Linked DNA regions of Arabidopsis thaliana. The protein of the gene in region 2 binds, or shares a complex with, the protein of the main gene of each other region. Each region holds a gene or a part of one and is shown on either strand. Other genes may lie near its edges. The genes, in order: RBR1, MYB3R-5 and ATE2F2.

Region 1 (8,567 bases), on a different chromosome or scaffold from region 2:
GACAGTAGCATCAGCCTTGAGCAAAAGAAGTGAAACGGGCAAACCAACAATGTTACTCCGACCTACAACAACTGCTCGTTGCCCCTTTATCTTTACGCCGCTTCTAGCTAGGAGTTCCAAACATCCCTGCACACACAGAAAATCACCTCATAGTTGATACAGAAGAAAAACAGAACACTGAGATTTCTCGCTTGAAAGAGACTGAAGTCTATATGCAAAAAAAGGAGAAGTACCTTTGGGGTGCAAGGAAGGAAGAGGGGTTCTCTGCCTTTCATGGCTAGCTTACCAATATTCAAAGGATGGAAGCCATCGACATCTTTATCAATGCTGATTGCACCCAATATATGCTCCTCATTAATATGTTTCGGCAATGGGAGTTGAACTAATATGCCTGCAAATCAAACACCAAAGCTTATATAAGCACAGGAGAGCAAGGAATGTTTGCTTTATACCAAAACGAAAGACTTGCATAGACATTAAAGTTTCTATCTATCCTTAATAGTTTAGACTAATGATAACCGAGAAGACATACAAAATCAAGTATTATTTACCGCCACAACTAACCATGGACATCCGGATTTGAATTTAGTTCATGAACTTTGCTAATAAGATCAGCTTCAGAAACTTCCTCTGGTAGGCCCACGTCAAATGACTTAATCCCAACCTCAGCGCACGCTTTCCTCTTCGTATTCACATAGGTCTGTGAATCCTTTCGGCTCCCAACAATAACTACAGCTAGTCCTGGGACCTGCATGAAGGTAAAATCAGATTCGATTGAATCTCGTACATTCTTGAAACTATATAAAGGGGTCCAACTGAAGCAACTGAACAAACGCACTAAACCATTTATTACACATACTCTCGTTCCTTCTATTTTATTACAATGATATCAAACATTATAAGCTTAGCACACACTATCTGTATAAATAAGATAGTATGCCACTTGAAGTAATGCAGGCAGCTCAAAAATCCAGCGAAACAAAATAACAGTGATCTAACTAAAATGGAGCTTACATTTGACCCTGTTAAGCATTTTCAATAGAAGGTTGTGATCATAGCTGCTTAAATCTAGTCATTTTAAACCATAAAGCTAAAAGAGAGTAAATTTTCAATAGTGCTATCATCTTATAAAAGAACGGAGAATTATAAGGAGAGACATGTCAAGATTAGGACACTGATTCATAAGATGCGTTTACCTTGCCGTGTTTCTCAGATAGACCGCGAACTTCCTCGGCGATCTCTGATCTGATGGTATGAGCAATCGCCTTGCCGTCGATTATCTTCGCCGTGTGATCAGATGATGACGCCATGAGCCACTAGGAATTTGCCTCGTGTCGGAAATATCTAATTCTCTCTCTGGATCCACTCACACTCGAAGATGACGAAGAAGACTTAATCTGAATCCATCCGCGGATAGGACACTCATACTTCTGCAACCAAACGTTCTACAATGGCAAATATGTAATTTCCCGCGTGACCTAAACTAGAAACGGCATCGTATTAAGGGTGGGCCCAATCATAACTCACACGAGGCTTTGTCGCGGTCACGAAAACCCAGACGGCGTTAATGGCCCACTCCGTTTGTTTCGACCCCGCCGTGACGGCGAATCTTTCCCTCTCAGCGTTTCACGCAACAGTAAGTAAGTTTTGGCGGTAAAATTGGGTCACAGATGGGTACGTGTCGATTTAATAGTGGTTGAAAGCGCGCGAATATAATTGTATACGTATGTGTATGTATTCTCCGTGTTGTTTTTCCCGCGCGAGATATATCCTTTTTTAGGGTTTGCCGCATAATCAGACCCCATTCTAGAGAGAGAAGAGGGAAGTCAGGTGAAGATAGAGAGAGACACTGAGAGGAGGGAAAATTTGTAGGGTTTTCGGAGATCTCTGTGATTCCTCTGAATTTGTCGAATTTTTTGGAGGAGGCGTTAGAAGTCGGGCTTCTTAAAAATCAGATCTTCTGCTCAGGCTTTAATCGGCGACGTCTGGTATTGGGATCTGTGACACAAAAAGGTAAGATCTTTCTCTATTGCCTATCCTTTGATTTGAAATCTTATCCTCTAGGTGGTTTATCTGAAATTTTCTATTGATATTTCGCTATTCGATTGTAAGTTGGTGAGAGAATTCTCCAAAAACAAAAAAGAGAAAAACTTTGAATGAATATTTAAGATAACATCTGGGTAAAATTTTTCCGGAGTGGTGGGTTTTAGATTATGCCCCAATTTCTCTTCTTTTTTTCCCCCAAATTTTGTCTTTCTGCCATGTTTTGGGAAATTGGGAGTTTGTTTTCTCATGTCTGTTAGTGTGTTCTTCCGAATGGGTTGGGCATGGTTCCTATTGAATTTCAGTGTGATTAAATTAACAAATCTCTTTGCTTGAAAAGTCCCTTTTTCTTCGTCTTCAGTTAGCAGTTTAATTGGAAGTAAAATTAGCTTGATTTTGCATGTTTTCAGCTGCGTTGGAGACTATGGAAGAAGTTCAGCCTCCAGTGACCCCGCCCATTGAACCAAATGGGAAAAGAAGCGAAGCCTCTCTCTTGGACATATGCGAGGTTTACTCTTCTCTTTGCTGATCTAGTTGCATTTGTTTAGTTGAAGATACCATTTGAGTTCTCTCGGAAATTTTGAGGACTAGCTCTAATCCCTGTAGTTGATTTCTTATTGCAGAAAGTTCTGTCTCTTGATGGGAGCACTTGCGATGAAGCTTTGAAGTTGTTTACAGAAACCAAACGAATTTTGTCAGCAAGCATGTCTAACATTGGAAGTGGAACGGTGAAATACATTTTTCCTCTAACTTCTCTTTTATCAGTTAACTGTGGTTTCATTATGACTAAATCCTTTTTTCTTCTTCTTATTAGCGGGAAGAAGTAGAGAGGTTCTGGTTTGCGTTTATTCTCTATTCAGTGAAGAGGCTTAGTGTGAGAAAAGAAGCGGATGGTCTGTCAGTGTCTGGTGATAATGAGTTTAATCTATGTCAGATACTGAGGGCTCTGAAGCTAAAGTAAGTAGTGTTCAATTCTTCCTTCCTTGTCATTCTTAAATTCATTTGTAGTGACGATTTTCCTCTTTTCTGTTTATAGTATTGTGGATTTTTTTAAAGAGTTACCTCAGTTTGTGGTCAAGGCTGGATCTGTACTGGGTGAACTTTACGGCGCAGACTGGGAGAACAGACTTCAGGTTTTGACTAACATCTTTTAAATATACTTCTACTTCTATTATATCATTGTTAAATATGCTTCTATTAACTAATTTTTACTTACTAGGCAAAGGAGGTGCAGGCTAACTTTGTGCATCTTAGCCTTCTAAGCAAGTGAGTTTAGCTCCCTTCCTATTTTACATTTATCTTTGTTTTGTGTAAGAATAGTTATTGACATAGATTTCATATTTTGGACCTGCAACTTAGAAGCAAATTTTCTTCCTATGCAATAATCAGAATATGGGCTTGCAATATTCCTTCAATTTTAAATTAATTAAGATTTAGAGTTACAGATTTCTGGTTTTCATGTGATTATATTCTGTGAATTGTTTTAAGGACATGTTAAAGTATGATGTTTTTGGTACCTTTCCTTGGTAACAGATACTACAAACGTGGGTTCCGGGAATTCTTTTTGACATATGATGCAAACGCAGAAAAGAACTCAGCAAACTCTTCTACCTATTTGCTGGATAGTTATCGTTTTGGATGGCTACTCTTTTTGGCACTCCGAAACCATGCGTTTAGTCGATTTAAGGACCTCGTGACATGCTCAAATGGCGTAGTTTCTATATTGGTTAGTGACTACCTGTGGAGCTCTCCCTAATCTTTCATTCATTTTAGTCTTGCTGTACATTATTACTTGAAAGATGCTTCGTTTAATATAACGCAATTGAAGTATAGGCTAACTCCTTTTCATGTTATCAGGCTATTTTGATCATACATGTTCCTTGTCGGTTTAGAAATTTCAGCATCCAAGATTCTTCTCGCTTTGGTGAGTGTTTATCTTTTCTTCTATCCCGATAACCATGGCACCATAGAATGTTTATCATCTATTTTCATTTATGTGATGAATCTCAGTTAAGAAAGGTGACAAAGGTGTAGACTTGGTTGCATCACTTTGCAAGATATATGACGCCTCAGAAGATGAGTTGAGGATAGTAATTGACAAGGCAAATAATTTGGTAGAAACCATACTGAAGAAAAAGCCATCTCCAGCATCTGAGTGCCAAACTGACAAGCTAGATAATATTGACCCAGGTTGGTCTAAAATCATTTTCCTTCTTCAATTAAAGAATCATGTGAGTTCATTGAACAGTTGCCTGATTGTTCTTCGAATCTATATGGTGTTTTACTGCAGATGGCTTGACCTACTTTGAGGATTTACTGGAAGAGACGTCCATCTCAACTAGCTTAATTACACTTGAAAAGGATTACTATGATGGTAAAGGCGAACTTGATGAGAGGGTATTCATCAATGAAGAGGATAGCTTACTTGGATCTGGAAGCTTATCTGCAGGAGCTGTTAATATTACTGGTGTTAAGAGGAAAATTGATGCTTTGAGCTCACCTGCAAGGACATTTATAAGCCCACTTTCTCCTCATAAGTCGCCTGCTGCTAAGACAAATGGTATTAGCGGTGCTACCAAGTTGGCAGCAACACCAGTGAGCACAGCAATGACAACTGCCAAGTGGCTCAGGACTGTCATATCCCCGCTTCTGCCAAAACCTTCTCCTGGGTTGGAACATTTCCTTAAATCATGTGATAGGGATATAACAAATGACGTCACACGAAGAGCACACATAATATTGGAAGCTATTTTCCCAAATAGTTCCCTTGGTGCCCAATGTGGAGGTGGAAGTTTGCAAGCTGTTGACCTGATGGATGACATATGGGCAGAGCAGCGCAGATTAGAAGCTTGTAAGTTATACTACAGAGTTCTTGAGGCAATGTGTAAAGCAGAAGCTCAGATTTTGCATGCAAATAATCTGAACTCTTTATTGACAAATGAGAGGTTCCATAGATGCATGCTTGCTTGCTCAGCTGAATTGGTACTGGCTACCCACAAAACAATTACAATGTTGTTCCCAGCTGTTCTGGAGAGGACTGGGATCACAGCCTTTGATCTCAGCAAGGTAATTGAGAGTTTCATACGACATGAAGATTCTCTGCCTAGAGAGTTGAGACGACATCTGAATTCACTGGAGGAACGGCTTCTAGAGAGTATGGTATGGGAGAAAGGCTCTTCAATGTACAATTCTCTGATTGTTGCCAGGCCATCGCTTGCATTGGAGATAAATCAGCTCGGTTTACTAGCTGAACCAATGCCATCTCTGGATGCAATCGCAGCACTTATTAATTTCTCTGACGGAGCAAATCATGCATCATCTGTACAAAAGCATGAAACTTGTCCAGGTAGTTTTATTTGTTTCTGAATTAAAGCAGTTTTCCAACCTGTTGTTAATGGTATGATTTTCTTACCAAAAATTGTCAAATTTGCTGCCATATAGGACAAAATGGGGGGATTAGATCGCCCAAAAGATTATGTACTGATTACCGCAGCATTCTAGTTGAACGCAATTCCTTTACATCACCAGTAAAGGATCGTCTGTTGGCCTTAGGCAACGTTAAATCCAAGATGCTGCCACCTCCGTTGCAGTCTGCATTTGCCAGGTACATTTTGAGTAACTATGAGTAGAAATGGAGAGTTAGTTTACCTATCTAGTTGTCCCTGTACTTGTTAAGTAACCTCTTCGGATTTATGTCTACAGCCCAACACGGCCCAACCCAGGAGGTGGAGGAGAAACTTGTGCAGAAACTGGAATCAATATTTTCTTCACAAAGGTAGGTCTGTGAGATCTTTGGATCTACTACTAATCGTTTGGTTAGATGATGTACTACAAAACACGGTATTGATTCTTCATTTTCGGCTGGGAATTGTGTTAAATGTGGTGGCTCTTCCCAGATTAATAAATTGGCTGCTGTAAGAATCAATGGAATGGTGGAAAGACTACAACTTTCACAGCAAATAAGGGAGAGTGTGTATTGTTTCTTCCAACATGTACTTGCTCAGCGGACTTCTCTTTTATTCAGTCGACACATTGACCAGATCATTCTCTGTTGCTTCTACGGAGTGGCCAAGGTGAGTAGTGTGATTCAAAGGGTTTAACTATATGTCATCTGGTTTACAATGGCTTCTCTTACACTTACACTTTTTCCATGAATCACCTTGTAGATATCCCAAATGAGCCTGACTTTCAGGGAAATCATATACAACTACCGGAAGCAACCACAGTGTAAACCATTAGTTTTCCGCAGCGTTTATGTGGATGCGTTACAATGTCGCCGTCAAGGGGTATATATACACTCTTAACCTTATGCTGAAAAGTTTCTTTACTCGGTGGAGAAGACTAAATTTGTGACAATGACTTGAACAGAGAATAGGGCCAGATCATGTTGACATCATCACATTCTACAATGAAATATTTATTCCTGCCGTAAAGCCGCTGCTGGTGGAGCTAGGTCCTGTAAGAAACGACCGGGCTGTGGAAGCCAATAATAAGCCTGAAGGTAGTTAAGAAAGGCCAGATACTTGTTAGATGTAAGCTTTGTCTATCAATTTAGTCCCTAAGTTAAATGATCGTCTTATTTTGGATTCACAGGTCAATGTCCCGGATCGCCAAAGGTGTCTGTGTTTCCAAGTGTTCCAGACATGTCCCCTAAAAAAGTATCTGCAGTGCACAATGTTTATGTTTCTCCTCTTCGGGGATCAAAGGTAAAGAAGATCATAGTGCTTAACTCTTTATCATGATATGACTAAGTCTTGAGGAGGAGGTAGGTGACAAGATTGTTTGGTTACCTTCCATGTGTTGTGTGTTTGCAGATGGATGCTCTTATTTCACACAGTACAAAGAGTTACTATGCTTGTGTTGGAGAGAGTACACATGCTTACCAGAGCCCTTCAAAGGACCTATCTGCCATCAACAACCGCTTGAACAAGTAAGTAGAAAAATCACGTCTCTCATCAGCTTCTTCCATAAAACCAATCACTGACCCAATCCAATTTCATCTGGTGTCACAGCAGCAGCAGCAACCGCAAGAGGACGCTAAACTTTGACGCAGAAGCAGGGATGGTCAGCGATTCCATGGTAGCAAATAGCCTTAACCTCCAAAACCAAAATCAAAACCAAAATGGAAGCGATGCATCGTCCTCAGGTGGTGCCGCACCCCTTAAAACCGAGCCAACAGATTCATAGATATCTCTCTCTACTTGCTACACCAACTTCTCTTCAGTTATAGCATCTGTAAATCCTTATGTTGCAGAGTTTGCTTTTATGTTTAGCTTTCTAGTTTATAGTGATCACCTCAGGCTATGAGCGGATGGATCCCTTTATTGTTTCTTTTTTCTTTTTTTATCTTAGTTAAGTCAGTCTTAATAAGCATTAATAAATGTCTTTTTCTTGTTCACTCTTTCTAACTGTGTTCGGTGTCCCATCTACTAAATTTATTTTCCACTTTAAAAAAAAACAATTTGTGACATTTACTTAACTTGGAACATATACAGTACAGTTAAGCAATTAACTATAACCAACAAATTGTCTGAACAATTGTCTGTCTTACCTTTTTAGCTCTCTATAAATTTACGCCGCAAAACAACACTTTATGTCGATTTCAGAATAACTTACTACTCCAGCATATTTCTCAAAACTTTCTCAATAGGTTAAATTTAAAACAACCTTGCAACTTATGAAAAAATCCTCAGCAAATTTGCCAGAAAAGAGTGTTACAATGGCTACAATCACATTCATAGATTAAATATCTGAACCGGCCAGTGACGCTTCTGACCCTTTGAGCTCAGCCCAGTAGCCTCTAACGAGATGTCTATGCTGCGATGCTCATGTGCTCGTGCAACACTCACACGCAGATGAATGCTTGAGGCGGGACACTCTTCGGTTCCGATGGCTTCTCTTCTGTCATTACCAGACAGAACCGAGGCCGGTGCCACTGAGATTGGTTCTTGAAAAGTTAAGATTGTCTGAGCCCAGTGTGTTGGGGGAGTGTAGGGTGATGTGGATAGTACGGTTGGGTTTTCCTTACAGAACCTACTGGTGAAACCTGTGTCAAACCACAACACAACACCATGGCACAACCTAGTTTTTGCTTCTGACTCAGTGGGCTCCAGCGTTGCCGTTGCTGTGAAATCTACTTCATCCGGTTTCATGGTAGCCAGGTCAAATGTCTAGAAACAAAGAAATTCAAGGAAATTAATTTCAAAGTTTTTCCTGGCGAAACCAAATAATGTGTGATCTTTCAAACCTGAAGAAGGGTAGGCTGTGTCACTAAATCACGCTCCGCTATAACGTCAACAATGGGAAGTCGAGTAGTGTCGTCATGTATCTCCTTCCCAATTGAAGACATGTCAAAGCCATAGACATCTTCCCAGAAAGGAAGACTTGTTGCACCTTTTCCAAATCCCGCAACAAACTGATCCAAGGAGAAAACAAGGGATAAAACTCATCAAGATGATTTCATGAAAAAGACAACATTTGAAGGGCAAAAGATAAGCTTTACCATAGTGGCCGTGTCAGGGAGG
Region 2 (6,847 bases):
CGAGCAGCTCATGAGTTGCATGTGCTGTAAACACCCTTCCAATCTTATTTTTTATTATTGTCCCACCTACAAATTGAGTTTGCATCCCGATTGTGCGATGAAGCCAATATCCATTTTTATAGACCACCCAAAAAGGCATCCCCACCTTCTCACCTTTTTTCCCAAACAAGCTTCCTTACTTTGCGATGTTTGTAGCCTCATTAAAGAAGCTTTCCCCACCTATGTGTGTCTTCGATGTATCTTTGTAGCCCATCGAGATTGTATCTATTTCCCGTATGTCATTAAAATATGTCGTCACCAACACCGTATCTCTTTTACCTCTTCTCTTCCATCTGGAAAATGGTCTTGTGGAGTATGTCGTAAAAAGGTTGACAACAATTGTGGTGCATACACTTGCAACAAGTGTAGCCACTATTTTGTTCATACAAGATGTGCGTTACGGGAAGACTTGTGGGATGGAAAGGATCTCGAGGGAGTACCTGAAGAACCTGAAATAATTCTCGAGCCATTTGAGACGATAGCTGATGGAATAATACTCCATTTTTCTCATGGCCATCATCTGAAACTCAAGACCAGTGGAGTTTACAACGAAAACATTATTTGTCAAGCGTGCATCCTTCCAATCTATGAGGGTAATTATTACTCGTGTATGGATCAATGCAACTTCATCCTCCACGAAGCATGTGCAAATGCTTCTCGCAAGAAAGATCATGCCTTACACAGTCACCCACTTACGCTAAAAGTTGTCTCTGATATACAGAATGAATACTTTAAAGGTTACTTCAGGTGTTCCGCTTGTGATCGTGAAAGTTGTGGCTTCATCTATGAGGAGGATCAATACAGCATAGACATACGGTGTGCCTCTGTTTCTGAACCATTTGATTATCAAGGCCATGAGCATCCCTTATTCCAAGCTTTAGACCGAAAAGAAGAAAGGGAGGCAATTTGTCAAATTTGCCGAAAAAAGTATGGTCGAAAACTAAATTGCATCGAATGCAATTATATTATATGTTTCAGTTGTGCTACTTTACCATACAAGGCAAAGTATAAGCTTGACAAACATTTCCTCACATTTCGGGAAGGGGAAGAGGGAAGTGATCAGTTAGACTGGTGTGAGGTATGCGAAAAGAAATTAGAATACTCAAGAGAAGGTGGGTTCTATGCGTGTGATGACTGCTGCACCACTCTCCATGTTGATTGTTTGCTTGGAAAAGAGATGTATATGTTGAATCCTGGTCATACTGTAATGGCTTATAGGTCAAACATTTATATTCTTCCCAACAATACCATGACTCGACCATTCTGCCAACTTCATAAAGAAGATCGTTGTCCACACAAAGTAATTTTCAATTGGCATGACATGACATTTTGCTCTTACAGTTGTTCGATGGATTAGATGTCATCATCGCCGGTGCTTCGTCGTCCCTTATTCGCTATATTTCACTCCCCATTTGCTTGTCTACGTTTTGTAATATGTTTCTTCTATTAAAACGTATTGTAATACTTTTGGATTCTTAACTTCTTCTAGTTCCCCATTTGCTCAATCTTCTTGTTGTCTGGTTGTTTACGTTTTTGTGTAATCTTTTCTTTTACTAAAACGAATTGTAATTTTCTATATCTTCTTCTTACCCAAAAACCTCGACTGATTAATTATATCTCGGCCTTTGGGCTTTAAATTATGGGCCAATTCGGACTGTTCTCGCTTAAGAAACTACAGTAAAAAAAAAAACCAGAATGAGTTATCTTAATGATCCGACGGTCCATAATCATTGAGGACCTCTGATTTGCCGACGTGTACAATGGTCAACGCATCAGCTAAAGAGTGCCGTTTGAGGTTGAAACTTTTATTTCCAACGTCAACCTTTCTTCTACTTTTAACGTCCGTTAAGTCCCCCTGTGGTTTCTTGTCACCATTTTCGGTTATAGTTTGATTTTAGATAACCGGTTTTATCCAACCACGAATTAAACTCGTTGTTTTCGTTTTTATCCGAAAGAATATTATAATTAATTAATTAGCCCAGTCACATTAATAAGTTTCGTAAAAAAACATTCATTTTCTCAATTCAATTAACCGGCTTCTTCCAATTCTTTTGAGTCGGTTTGGAATAAACCGGCCGGTTCCAGGTTAACGGCAGTTAGCAGTTACGTCGGCGGAAGAAGTATTCGTTACAATATTTGTTTTAATCCCAATTAGTCTCCTTCTCCTTTCTCTCTTCTCTCTCGTTCAACGGGCAAAGTTTTTTTCGAATATAAGTTTTGGTTTGTTTTTTAACGTTCCCTTCTTCTTCTTCCTCGCGAATTCGCTTATCTGGCGATCACGATGAGCTCAAGTTCGAATCCACCGGTTTGTTCACCGGAAAAGGTCAGATTTTTCCCTGAAATCTGATTAGGGCTTTTCATTTTTTGTGATCAGATTGTTATCTTCGTCTACTTTGGTGTGAGTTCATGGGGTTTTAGGTCTGAATCGGAACACGTTTTAACAGGTCTTGGAAAAGGGTCTGAATTGGTTTCTAATGATTAGAATTGTATAAACCCTAAACATCCATCTTGTGCTTGAAAGAAATCGACTTGTTTTTTTGTGAGATCTGGCTTCTATTTTGCGGCCGTTGAGTTTTTAGGGTTTTGTGATTTTTGATTATTTGTTTGATAAAGATACGTTCTTGTTCATTTTGTGCTCAATCCCATGTTTTTAACGAAAATTCTGGATTTGGTGATTTATATGGGTTTTTTAGGAGGAAAGAAGTGAAATGAAAATTGAGATTCAATGTATGGAGAATAAGCAACCATTAGCTGCTTCTTGCTCTTCTGCATCCGAAGGTAGTGGCTGTTTCTTCCTCAAGTCACCTGAAATCGCAACTCCTGCCACAGTATCTTCATTTCCTCGGTACTTTTACTATCTTTTACATTTCATCTTCTATCTGTGTGTTTATACAACTTATTATGAAATTGATTGATTGGAAAGACTGTGCTTTGATGACTTACACCGAACTCATTTTGGGTTTCTGCAATGTTTTAATGTTGATCTGCAGGAGGACTAGTGGACCTATGAGACGAGCAAAAGGTGGTTGGACTCCAGAGGAGGTTAGTGGTTGCTTTTGTTTCATAATTTTGTTGGTGTGTGGAGCAACCTCATTCGACTATGTATCTTATATGTATAAGGATTAGTGTTTACTTGAATGAAAGACGAGACTAGCCTTATTGTGGTCTGTAATTGGTTTTTATCACTATTCAGGATGAGACACTTAGACGAGCAGTTGAAAAGTATAAGGGGAAGAGGTGGAAGAAAATAGGTAAATTTCTTTTCTTGAATGTAAAAGTAGTATTGCAATACATTAGAATGAGATTATAGGTCTTCTAATCACACTCTTGTCTTGATGTATACTTGAATGTATAATTTATACATTTTTAAAACTGAACTCGTATCTTAAATCTGCTGAGAATTTTGTGAATTTTTCTCATTCAGTAAACATGATCTCTGCTGTGCACTTTGCAAGAGAACCATGATTTCTTTTTTGTCTCTTAAATGTTAAAGTAGCTGGTTTCGGTCAATGTTCTGTTTGTTTGATTTTTTTGTATTTCATCTTACAGCGGAATTTTTCCCAGAGAGAACAGAAGTCCAATGCTTGCACAGGTGGCAGAAAGTTCTTAATCCAGAGCTTGTTAAAGGACCTTGGACTCAAGAGGTTCTCTTATCATTTTCATGTTCTGAAACTTTTTTTGGTTTTCATTTTACGTAAAAATTTGGTAGCTCTAAAATTCTCTTTCTTTCGTGAATTGTAGGAGGATGATAAAATCGTTGAACTTGTAAAAAAATATGGACCTGCCAAATGGTCTGTCATCGCCAAGTCCTTACCAGGTCGTATTGGGAAACAATGTCGAGAAAGGTAACAAAGATTAGAATATTGACTATCTGAAGAATAGAGCCTGTACCTCCGTTGAGTTTGGAAGCCTCAACGAGTTTACGATTACAGGTGGCACAACCATTTAAATCCTGGTATTAGAAAGGATGCTTGGACCGTAGAAGAAGAATCAGCTCTCATGAATTCTCATCGAATGTACGGAAACAAATGGGCGGAAATTGCTAAGGTTTTACCAGGAAGGTATACTTACTTGTAGTTGAAAAAGGCCTTGTGAAAAATAAAGTTAATGGACATTTTTGAACATCTCATACAGTTTTTGCTTCTGATGTCTACCTGTACTTTTTGCAGGACTGATAACGCCATAAAGAACCATTGGAATAGTTCACTGAAGAAAAAATTAGAGTTCTACTTAGCAACTGGTAACTTGCCACCGCCAGCAAGCAAATTCATCGTTCTGAAAGATATTGCTGATGGAGACAGAGATTCCAAGCAGTCTAGTGCAACTAAACCTTTCAAGGATTCTGATTCGCTTACCCAAACCTCTTCAGGAAATACAGATTCAAATGAAGTTGGAAGAGACCATTTTGACTCTTCTTCCGCTCTGCTTGAAGAAGTAGCTGCTTCACGAAGAATCGGTGTCAATGAGTATGCTTGCTCTCCTGTTGAGTACAAGCCTCAGTTGCCTAATCTGGAACCAATTTCAGAGGAAGTCAGAATCAACTCAAAAGCTTATTTTGAGAGATCAATCCAGAGGAAAGTAGAAAACGGGTTTGGAACTCCAAAGCATGGGAATTTATACTATAAGTCTCCACTTGACTATTACTTTCCATCAGAAGCGGATCTGCAACATATGTACGGATATGAATGTGGTTGCAGTCCCGGTGCTGCATCACCAGTCAGCTTAATGACTACACCCTGTAATAAAGACAGTGGTTTAACTGCAACGAGAAGTCCTGAATCTTTCTTGAGAGAAGCTGCTAGGACTTTTCCAAACACACCTTCTATTTTTAGGAAAAGGCGAAAGGTTGTTTTGGCAGCGAAAACAGATGCTGTTGTTGTTGTTAATGGTGTAGTTAAGGAAGTTGATCGAAAAGAAGAAAGTAAAGATATGAGAAAAAGTTTGTTGCTGGAGACAACTGATAATTGCAGTGATGATGAAGAACTCGGGTTAAATGGAAATGCTTTCAATTTGTCTCCACCATATCGGTTAAGAGCTAAAAGAACAGCTGTAATCAAATCAAGACAGCTTGAGTTTACATCTGAAAAGGAGAAGCAGCCAGATAATGAGATTGAGTTTACATCTGCAAAAGAGAAGCAGCCTGATAATGAAATTAAAACGTCTGAGGAAGACAAGCCTGTGTAGAACCCTTCTTCCCTTAGAAAACTGTGAGTGAAAATTTCAAATCTTTTATTTAATGTCACTAATCTGAGTAACAAATCTAAAATAATTCCATCCTTGTTGACACAGAGATCGTGTGAAGAAACCAGTATGGTTCCAGAAGAATTGAAGCTTTGCTGGGAAGAGAACCGTGAAGAAAAACAATTCTCATTCTCTTCCTCACAGCCTTGAGCTATGAATCTACGGCTTTGGTCTAACACCCGAACTAAAATGAAATAGGTAGGTAGGTACACTCACAAGTAGTTTAATTTCATCGTTCACATACATGGTGTCCTGTTTACGTTTAAAATGATAATTGTGCAGAAACTAGTTTTAAAGGATTAGAATTTTGGTTAATTCTTTTTTATTTTTAGGGCTTTTGAGTATATGATGTTACATAGTTGACGAAGACACTGAAAATTCTTCCATTTTCGGACATCGAAGTGATATCAGAACACAACACATTCGTTTTGATACTATCCTTTCTCTGGATCAATCTGTACATATATCAAAAATTTTACAAATAAACCTTCTCAAAATCAACACTTTTTTTTTAATCATTGGGATGTTTATCGACCATTTTCAGGTAGTAAGCCTGAATAAAATAAAAGAAACAATGCAAATCTGCGCACAGAGACTAACCAATGATAGTATTGTTAAAAATAAACATTATGCAACTGCCAAGAAATAATACTCTATTTACAAACATGATCGCATATATCCACAAATAAAGAAATCAACCAAAGTGACAGAAATCAAATAAAAAAAAATCATCAGAAAAGCTCTCAAATCTTTAGAATCTTAACTGATGATTTCAAAGCAACATATGAATACCATCTCATAGAGATCAATGTCTGAGAAATAGCACGCAGATCGTTTAATGTAAGACGGCTCCAATTGTGGTTTGGCCGAGAACTTTTGAACTGCGATCAAGTCCATGAGAACCAACCTGAAAAGGATTTCACCAAGCAAAACAATTATATATTTTACCATACAAACAAAAGTTTCTTCTTTTGATTGTTGAGACAAACATTTACCAAGTAAGTTAAAGCAGCATAACGTTCTTCATTCAGGTATAGTCGTTTTCCTCTGATCATATCGATATCCTGAAACAATATTCAATGACCAACAGCATGGAAACATCCGAATCAACAAGATCGTACCCATCAAAGTTAAAAGGAAAAGAAAGAAAAAAATCTTTCTAGGTTTACCTCTTCTCCAAACGTATCCAGGTAAGGAGATGGCCAAGGTGATTGTCTTGCAAACCTTTGTAGCAAAATTGTGGTCCGCTATCGAAAAATGTAGAGCAGTAATCAATTAGAAAGCCCACAAATGATGCAAACTCCATACATACACGAGCAATATATAAAGTAAAGGAGAGTTATATCCACAAGAGAGAGAGAGAGAGAGAGAAGACGAGAGGTGATACCCGTATCAGAAGAAATACACCAGTACCAGCACCACAGGTAATTGCATGATTAGGACAACCACTTTCTCTGTAAAAGTATGTTAGAACGTCATTGTTTGGTTTTCTAGAACAATAACAGTGTCAACCAAAACGATGTTTGGAGACTAGTGGAAGTAAAGGCAATACCTGCAACAAGGGCTC
Region 3 (6,311 bases), on a different chromosome or scaffold from region 2:
TTTTTTTTTTATAGGACAGGTTTGGCGAGACGGGTTTGGAAGAACGTTACTTAATAAGAATTATAAAATATAAAATAAAAATATTTTATAGATAGATATAATTTTCAAACTTTTATATATACTAATTTTAAAAAAAAAAATCTTCATGGTGTACTACGGGTTAAAATCTAATAGTTGTAGAAAACTCTTAAGCCTAAGGAAGTTAATTACCTAAATGGTAGGAGTTATAATAAAAATAACTTCTTACCAAAAAAACAACGTTAGATAACTTGTAAGATCACTTTTAGAGGCTATAAATTCCTCCTCACCTTTTCTTTTGTATAAAAGTAGAAAAAAGGAACCAAAGTAAACAAATAAAAATGCTATCGACTATTGTAAATTCTTTTTTAGTGTTTCCATATTTTTTTCATTTTTTATTTACTGTTTTTTTCTTACTGCACCATGACAAGTGAAGTAGATTTCGCGTTAGTGCACTTGAAATTTAGGACAACAAAAATGCAACTAGACAAACTTTTTCTGTATGAATATCTAGACGAACTTACATTTATATGGATAATCTTGTTTTGTTTGTTTGTCACAGTTAAACTAAAATATAATATAATTTTTCTGATCCATGGCTACAATAAATTTTAAAAATGTGGATAATATGTCTTCACAAATATTTTTCTAAATAAAATACTCTTTCTTTTTTTTGGCTAAAAAGTTGTCACATGCCATAGGGACGAAAATGTGTGTTTTACATTGTTTGGTACACCAATGTTTCAGTCTCTCAGATCTAAACTAATGGAAATTACGTTGATTTAAGCCATCATGATATCATGAAGGGATTTTTTCTCGTCATATTTGTCCAGTTTTACGAAAACAAGTTAAGGTATCAAACTTATGCGATACGAAAACTCTTTGAAATAACTCAATTATATTTACATTCCTTTAATATGTTTTGTTTATTCAAAATCATGATTAATTAATTCAGTATTTTGAATTCCTATTTTTGTTACATGATGCAATTGGTAATAATACAATGAAAAAAAAAACAGTCCCTTGTGTAGCGCTATACACCAAGTTTGTGTGTTTGTCGTCAATGCACCCATCGCTTCCTTATAACCTAATATAGGTTTTGATTGGTAACCACTTTACAAAACGGTACTAAGCGTTACAAAGTTTTACTCTTAGTTTATTGTACAGCTTAATACCTGTAGTAGAGTTAACAACTTTTGGTTACCAATCAGACCCATAAACATATATTAAGATAGACAAAAAAACATATATACATATATAGTACGACTTCATAAAAGATGGTATAATTTTCACATAATTTGATATTAATTAGATATCACTTACTCAAGTACTCAACTATGCAGAAGCACTCTTCATTCTTCAATTGTTTTTATGAAAATATTAAAGAAAAAAAGCTAGAAAAATGATACCAGAGAAACAAAATGAATCATGGGTTTAGAAATTCATTCTAATTTCTACCTTTTGGCAAAGACCATGAACTCTAAACTACTTTTTGGTATGATAACTGGACCAAATTTGGGCCGTTCATAGAGTTTATTGGTGCAGATGGACCTCGGAGATTAGGACTCCCCTGTAAACTCAATCTAGCAATGCCGAGACTCCGTATTTATAGATTCGTGAACCATGAATGTCGATCATTAACATAAAGCTACAAAGTATGAAGCTCTAGAAGATATGTAAACGTCGTAACATTATTAAGCCCAATTCAAGCCCAAGACCAAGCCCAAGACCAAGCCCAACAAATAGTCAAAAGAGTAAAATAATAAGCGGAAGAAGTTAGGCGGGGCTTAGGCAGAATTCGAAACTCTCTCCAACTTCTTTCGCCCACCGCTCTTTTAACATAATTCCAATATTTCTTTCTTATATTAATCTTTTTAATACAACAAAAAGACACTTTTACCCTTCCTCTTCTTCCCGCTGTTTCCTCTCTTCTCTCTCCATCTTTTTCTCCATCTTCCCTCTTCTCCTTCTTCATCTTCCCCCACAAAAACCTAAATCACGATTCTCCAAAATCGCTTCAAAAAATCACTCTAAATCCCATCTTCTCTACCACCGGAGATACACCGCCGTTACATGGCCGCGACATCAAACTCAGGCGAAGATCCGACTCTCTCTTACCATCACCGATCTCCTTTTCGCTTCGAATTACTTCAATCTATCTCTTCCTCTGATCCTCGTTACTCTTCTCTAACTCCTTCTTCAACGAATCGACCTTTCTCAGTCTCTCAATCGCTTCCGAATTCACAACTGTCTCCTCTAATTTCACCTCACTGGGACGATTCTTACTCTCAAATCACTCAGAAAGTTGTGAGTCTCTTCGTTTACTCAAGTCCTCGTAGATTCCTTCTTTGATTTTGATTCCATTTCCGAACTTGATTTTGCGATAGCTAGGTTTAATTCTGATTCCCAAATTTCGCGAAAACAAAAATTGAATGAAGTTTGGTTTCATTAAGGGAAACTTAATCCAAAATTGGATCTCTAGCTTTCAATTCTCTAATCTCAATTTGCGAATTTAGATTCGTTTTGGTGATTGTAATGCTATTGAGTTGATCTTTTCTTAATTTGCAGCAGAAGAGTAGAAAGAATCATCGAATTCAGCTTGGATCTATTGCCAACATGTCTGGAGGAGAAAGCATAGATATAGCTAAAGTAATAGTGAAACAAGAGTCGTCTCCTCAAAATGTTAAACGTGTATACAACAAGTCAAAGGGTGGTACTAAACTGTTAAAGGCTGGGAAACGAATGGCGAATGGCGGTATCTGCTTTTTCTGATCAATCTCTTTGGCTAGCTCTTAGAATGTGATATGTATTGAAAATAAGAATCTGTTTGTATTCAGCATTGTTGTGAATGAGTTTTTTTGTGCAGAAGTGCAAAATGGTGGCTTAAATGGAGCTAGTATTAACTGCCGTTATGACAGTTCTTTAGGTAACTAATAGTTCTGTTTACTAAGGTTCATGTTTGTATGGAGATAACAACTGTAATTGTATCGGTGTCTCTTTTGTTTGATAGGGTTGTTGACAAAAAAATTCGTGAAGTTGATCCAGGAAGCTGAGGATGGAACACTTGACCTTAACTATTGTGCAGTTGTTTTGGAGGTATGCTAAATGTATCTTAATATTTAAGTTAAAAATGTATGTCTCAACTCGTAGAAGATCTAATTAAGAACGTGGACTAAAAAGATCACTCACCTTTATAACCCTTGCCTTAACTGTTTGATATCTCCCTAGTTATCTTCATCAGCTTGTTAGGATCTCCTCTTATGTGCTTACGTGTTCCTGCGATCCCTCTTAACAGGTACAAAAAAGAAGGATATATGATATTACAAATGTCCTTGAAGGAATTGGATTGATAGAGAAAACTACAAAGAATCATATCCGCTGGAAGTAAGTACACAAATTTTTTCTTTCTTGGATACATTGCAGCGTATATAGCTTGAGTTCGTCTGACTTTGTGTATGCGCTATTGATGCAGGGGTGCTGACAATCTTGGACAAAAGGACCTGGGAGATCAAATTTCTAGGCTTAAGGTTCATTGTGACAAGCATTTTCACGTGTTTTCTTTGTCGTAGAACTTACTGCTATGCAAATAATCTGTCAAATTCATGATTTCATTATTTTTCTGTCTTATAGTTTATTTCACACAGTTATTTTCAAATTCCCCATTACTGACCGGTTACATATCTACGTATTTTCAGTCAGAAGTAGAGAGTATGCAATCTGAGGAAAGCAGGTTGGATGATCTTATAAGGTTGGTTGCTTGTGTTCTTATATTATGTTTGGAGACTTATCCATTGTTCCTTTCCCACATGGTTTGAAGATCATCATGTTATGTATCTCCAGGGAACGACAAGAAGCTCTCAGATCCTTGGAGGAAGATGACTACTGTAGAAGGTATTCGTCAGTTTATTTGAGTTTCATCTTTTTGTATATACACGAGAGTGTTGCTAAGATCAATGATGGAAATAAACAGGTACATGTTTATGACGGAGGAAGATATAACGAGTCTCCCACGGTTTCAGGTCCTCCCCAACTAGTTCTTGAAAATCATCTTATGTTTTCCTCAGTTATTTAACATACTAAACTGGTAGTCCTTATACAGAACCAGACATTACTAGCAATTAAAGCTCCTACAGCTAGTTACATCGAAGTTCCAGATCCTGATGAGGTGAGCGTTTTTAATGCTTTCATATTTGCTGTACAGTTGTAATATAATGTGTCACAAAGTAAAGCATCTGTTTTTGTTCACGATAGATGAGTTTTCCGCAACAGTACCGGATGGTGATTAGGAGTAGAATGGGGCCGATTGATGTCTATCTTTTAAGGTACTTAGTTACACATTCCACTCTCTGTGTCTGGTCTTATCTATATATTTGTCAGTCAGTGTTAATAACTGGGAACAAACATGATCGCAGCAAATACAAAGGAGACAGTGCGGAAACAAGCGACAAGTTGGGTAATGAGTCTGATCAAAAAGCTCCAGTTGGAGTAGACACTCCTTCCTTGAAAATAGTAACTTCAGATACTGATGTAAGTATTTAGATCCACTGATATGGGTTTTGGGATCAGTCTCGCATTTCGTATGTTGCGATTAAGTTGAATTTTTGGTTGTGTATTGCCAGTTAAAAGCAGATTACTGGTTCGAGTCAGATGCAGAGGTGAGCCTCACAGATTTATGGAGCAACTTCAACAGCTGAGAAACAAAGTTGTTTGAAACCTCAAATTCCCAATTACTAGGATGAGGATGAATTTTCTGTTACATTTTACTACCCCTTTTGAGCCTGAAATCCTAATAGATTTTTTTCCTTATAAAAATAAAAGATGCAATATTTTAAGGTCATTCAAGGGATGTGGCAATTATGTGAAAAAACTTGTACTCTAATTAGATATATAATTATACTTAATGGCCTTTTGCATGTCAATGCATACATCTGTTTTTGTAACATGTGTTTATAATGAACTTTGAAATTAATCTTTTTGACACTTTGGGTCCATAGGTTACAATTTGCATGTTCAAACAGAAACAAAGCATCATTTACGAACCACCTGATTTGGACAATATCAAACGTTACTTCTGTCAGAATCATGTCAAAAAACGAATGGTTCCAAATTGAAAACTAGTTAATCTCTCATCTTGTTACATTTAGTTTCAAAGCTCGAAGTCTTGAACGCTAGTAGAGAAAAATATCTTGTGGAAAAGAAGTATCAACTTTACAAAGCTTGATGTCATTCATGAGTTAGATCATATCATGTTTGATGTCATTCATGAGTTAATCATGACCACATTGGACATTGATATCTTGGTGGATCCCTAAATATGGTGCTTGTTTGGATCCCAAGCAATACTTTTCGTTAAATGGCATAACTCTTGCCTAGAAGTAACTGCCTAAAACAGTAAAACGTACCCTAAAAAAAAAGGAATGCCTTTCAGAGGATAATTTTCCTAATATACATTGTTGGATATAATTCTGCTATATAAACTCACCCACACACGAGAAGATTGAAAGCGACTCAAAAATCAAGAACATCGAACAACGTCGTTTTGCCGCTGACTACCATCTCAAACGATTCCCAAACAAATGGCTCAGTTCACTACAACAATATCGTTTTGACCGAGATTCTTGATTTTTTTTTATATACAAACTTTTATGGTAATTTTATTGTTGAAAATCATGGCTAAGCATTATTGGAATAGAAGCAAAACTCAAATATAGCCTGTCAAATAAGAGAAGGTATAGAGCAGATTCGTTGATACATCATAGAAGAAGAGGTAGTGAACAAAAATTTTCTACCTCGCCAAGTCAGTTTTGCTCCTTTTTTGTTTTTGTTTTTGGCTCATATTCAAACTTTAAAAATGCAATGTTGACGTTTCTTCTAGGTTGGAATTGGACAGAGGACAACTTGGTAATGTTTGTACCGAGGTTTTAACAATAAGTAACTAAGGAGTTTGAGGAGAACGGAGTAGATTTTTTATTAACGATGAAGGAGAACAATAAAATTACAGAACGAAAAACCAAAAATGCAGAACGGAGAACCGAAAGTACATAACGGAAAATCAGGAAATATATAATGGAGAACCAAAAGGACAAAACGGAGAACCGAACGTACAGAATGAGAAACCTGAAAATACAGAACAGAGAACCGAACGTACAGAACGGAAAACCAGAAAGTAAAAGATAAAGAGCTAGACAACAATTCTCTCTTAAATTCTACGAATAATAACTTTAAGTCTGAATCCCTTTTCTCAATAGTGTCTTCTACTATTATAGGTGACCTAAAATTTCCTTTGTCTCTCT

What was found.
Region 1: MYB3R-5 (region 2) and RBR1 share a complex: the UniProt entries of both Arabidopsis thaliana proteins name them as parts of the DREAM-like complex.
Region 3: MYB3R-5 (region 2) and ATE2F2 share a complex: the UniProt entries of both Arabidopsis thaliana proteins name them as parts of the DREAM-like complex.

Annotation. Positions count from the first base shown.
Region 1 is NC_003074.8:3,912,334-3,920,900, reverse strand, and holds RBR1 (retinoblastoma-related 1), read left to right. Parts: upstream 1-1,541; 5' UTR 1,542-2,013; intron 2,014-2,453; 5' UTR 2,454-2,467; coding exon 2,468-2,551; intron 2,552-2,666; coding exon 2,667-2,771; intron 2,772-2,857; coding exon 2,858-3,000; intron 3,001-3,079; coding exon 3,080-3,176; intron 3,177-3,262; coding exon 3,263-3,309; intron 3,310-3,576; coding exon 3,577-3,769; intron 3,770-3,900; coding exon 3,901-3,967; intron 3,968-4,053; coding exon 4,054-4,233; intron 4,234-4,333; coding exon 4,334-5,389; intron 5,390-5,484; coding exon 5,485-5,647; intron 5,648-5,745; coding exon 5,746-5,818; intron 5,819-5,939; coding exon 5,940-6,116; intron 6,117-6,209; coding exon 6,210-6,329; intron 6,330-6,411; coding exon 6,412-6,544; intron 6,545-6,636; coding exon 6,637-6,749; intron 6,750-6,857; coding exon 6,858-6,973; intron 6,974-7,055; coding exon 7,056-7,230; 3' UTR 7,231-7,552; downstream 7,553-8,567. Other genes in the region: AT3G12290 (Amino acid dehydrogenase family protein), read right to left, coding at 1-126, 234-391, 565-748, 1,197-1,310; PRMT3 (protein arginine methyltransferase 3), read right to left, coding at 7,779-8,213, 8,291-8,458, 8,546-8,567. UniProt on the Arabidopsis thaliana protein: Key regulator of entry into cell division. Acts as a transcription repressor of E2F target genes, whose activity is required for progress from the G1 to the S phase of the cell cycle.
Region 2 is NC_003076.8:481,821-488,667, reverse strand, and holds MYB3R-5 (myb domain protein 3r-5), read left to right. Parts: upstream 1-2,194; 5' UTR 2,195-2,320; coding exon 2,321-2,362; intron 2,363-2,732; coding exon 2,733-2,884; intron 2,885-3,003; exon of another isoform or gene 3,004-3,015; coding exon of another isoform or gene 3,016-3,029; coding exon 3,030-3,081; intron 3,082-3,232; coding exon 3,233-3,290; intron 3,291-3,588; coding exon 3,589-3,683; intron 3,684-3,780; coding exon 3,781-3,884; intron 3,885-3,971; coding exon 3,972-4,100; intron 4,101-4,208; coding exon 4,209-5,223; 3' UTR 5,224-5,246; exon of another isoform or gene 5,247-5,328; 3' UTR 5,329-5,875; downstream 5,876-6,847. Other genes in the region: AT5G02330 (Cysteine/Histidine-rich C1 domain family protein), read left to right, coding at 1-1,396; PRT6 (proteolysis 6), read right to left, coding at 6,116-6,187, 6,276-6,344, 6,450-6,527, 6,668-6,734, 6,833-6,847. UniProt on the Arabidopsis thaliana protein: Transcription factor that binds 5'-AACGG-3' motifs in gene promoters. Transcription repressor that regulates organ growth.
Region 3 is NC_003070.9:17,632,846-17,639,156, forward strand, and holds ATE2F2 (winged-helix DNA-binding transcription factor family protein), read left to right. Parts: upstream 1-1,851; 5' UTR 1,852-2,091; coding exon 2,092-2,325; intron 2,326-2,586; coding exon 2,587-2,773; intron 2,774-2,884; coding exon 2,885-2,944; intron 2,945-3,028; coding exon 3,029-3,114; intron 3,115-3,313; coding exon 3,314-3,402; intron 3,403-3,490; coding exon 3,491-3,545; intron 3,546-3,713; coding exon 3,714-3,766; intron 3,767-3,858; coding exon 3,859-3,909; intron 3,910-3,988; coding exon 3,989-4,037; intron 4,038-4,117; coding exon 4,118-4,183; intron 4,184-4,269; coding exon 4,270-4,340; intron 4,341-4,430; coding exon 4,431-4,545; intron 4,546-4,637; coding exon 4,638-4,712; 3' UTR 4,713-4,964; downstream 4,965-6,311. UniProt on the Arabidopsis thaliana protein: Involved in transcriptional repression. May act by repressing E2F-regulated genes in mature differentiated cells, but is not an antagonist of E2FA.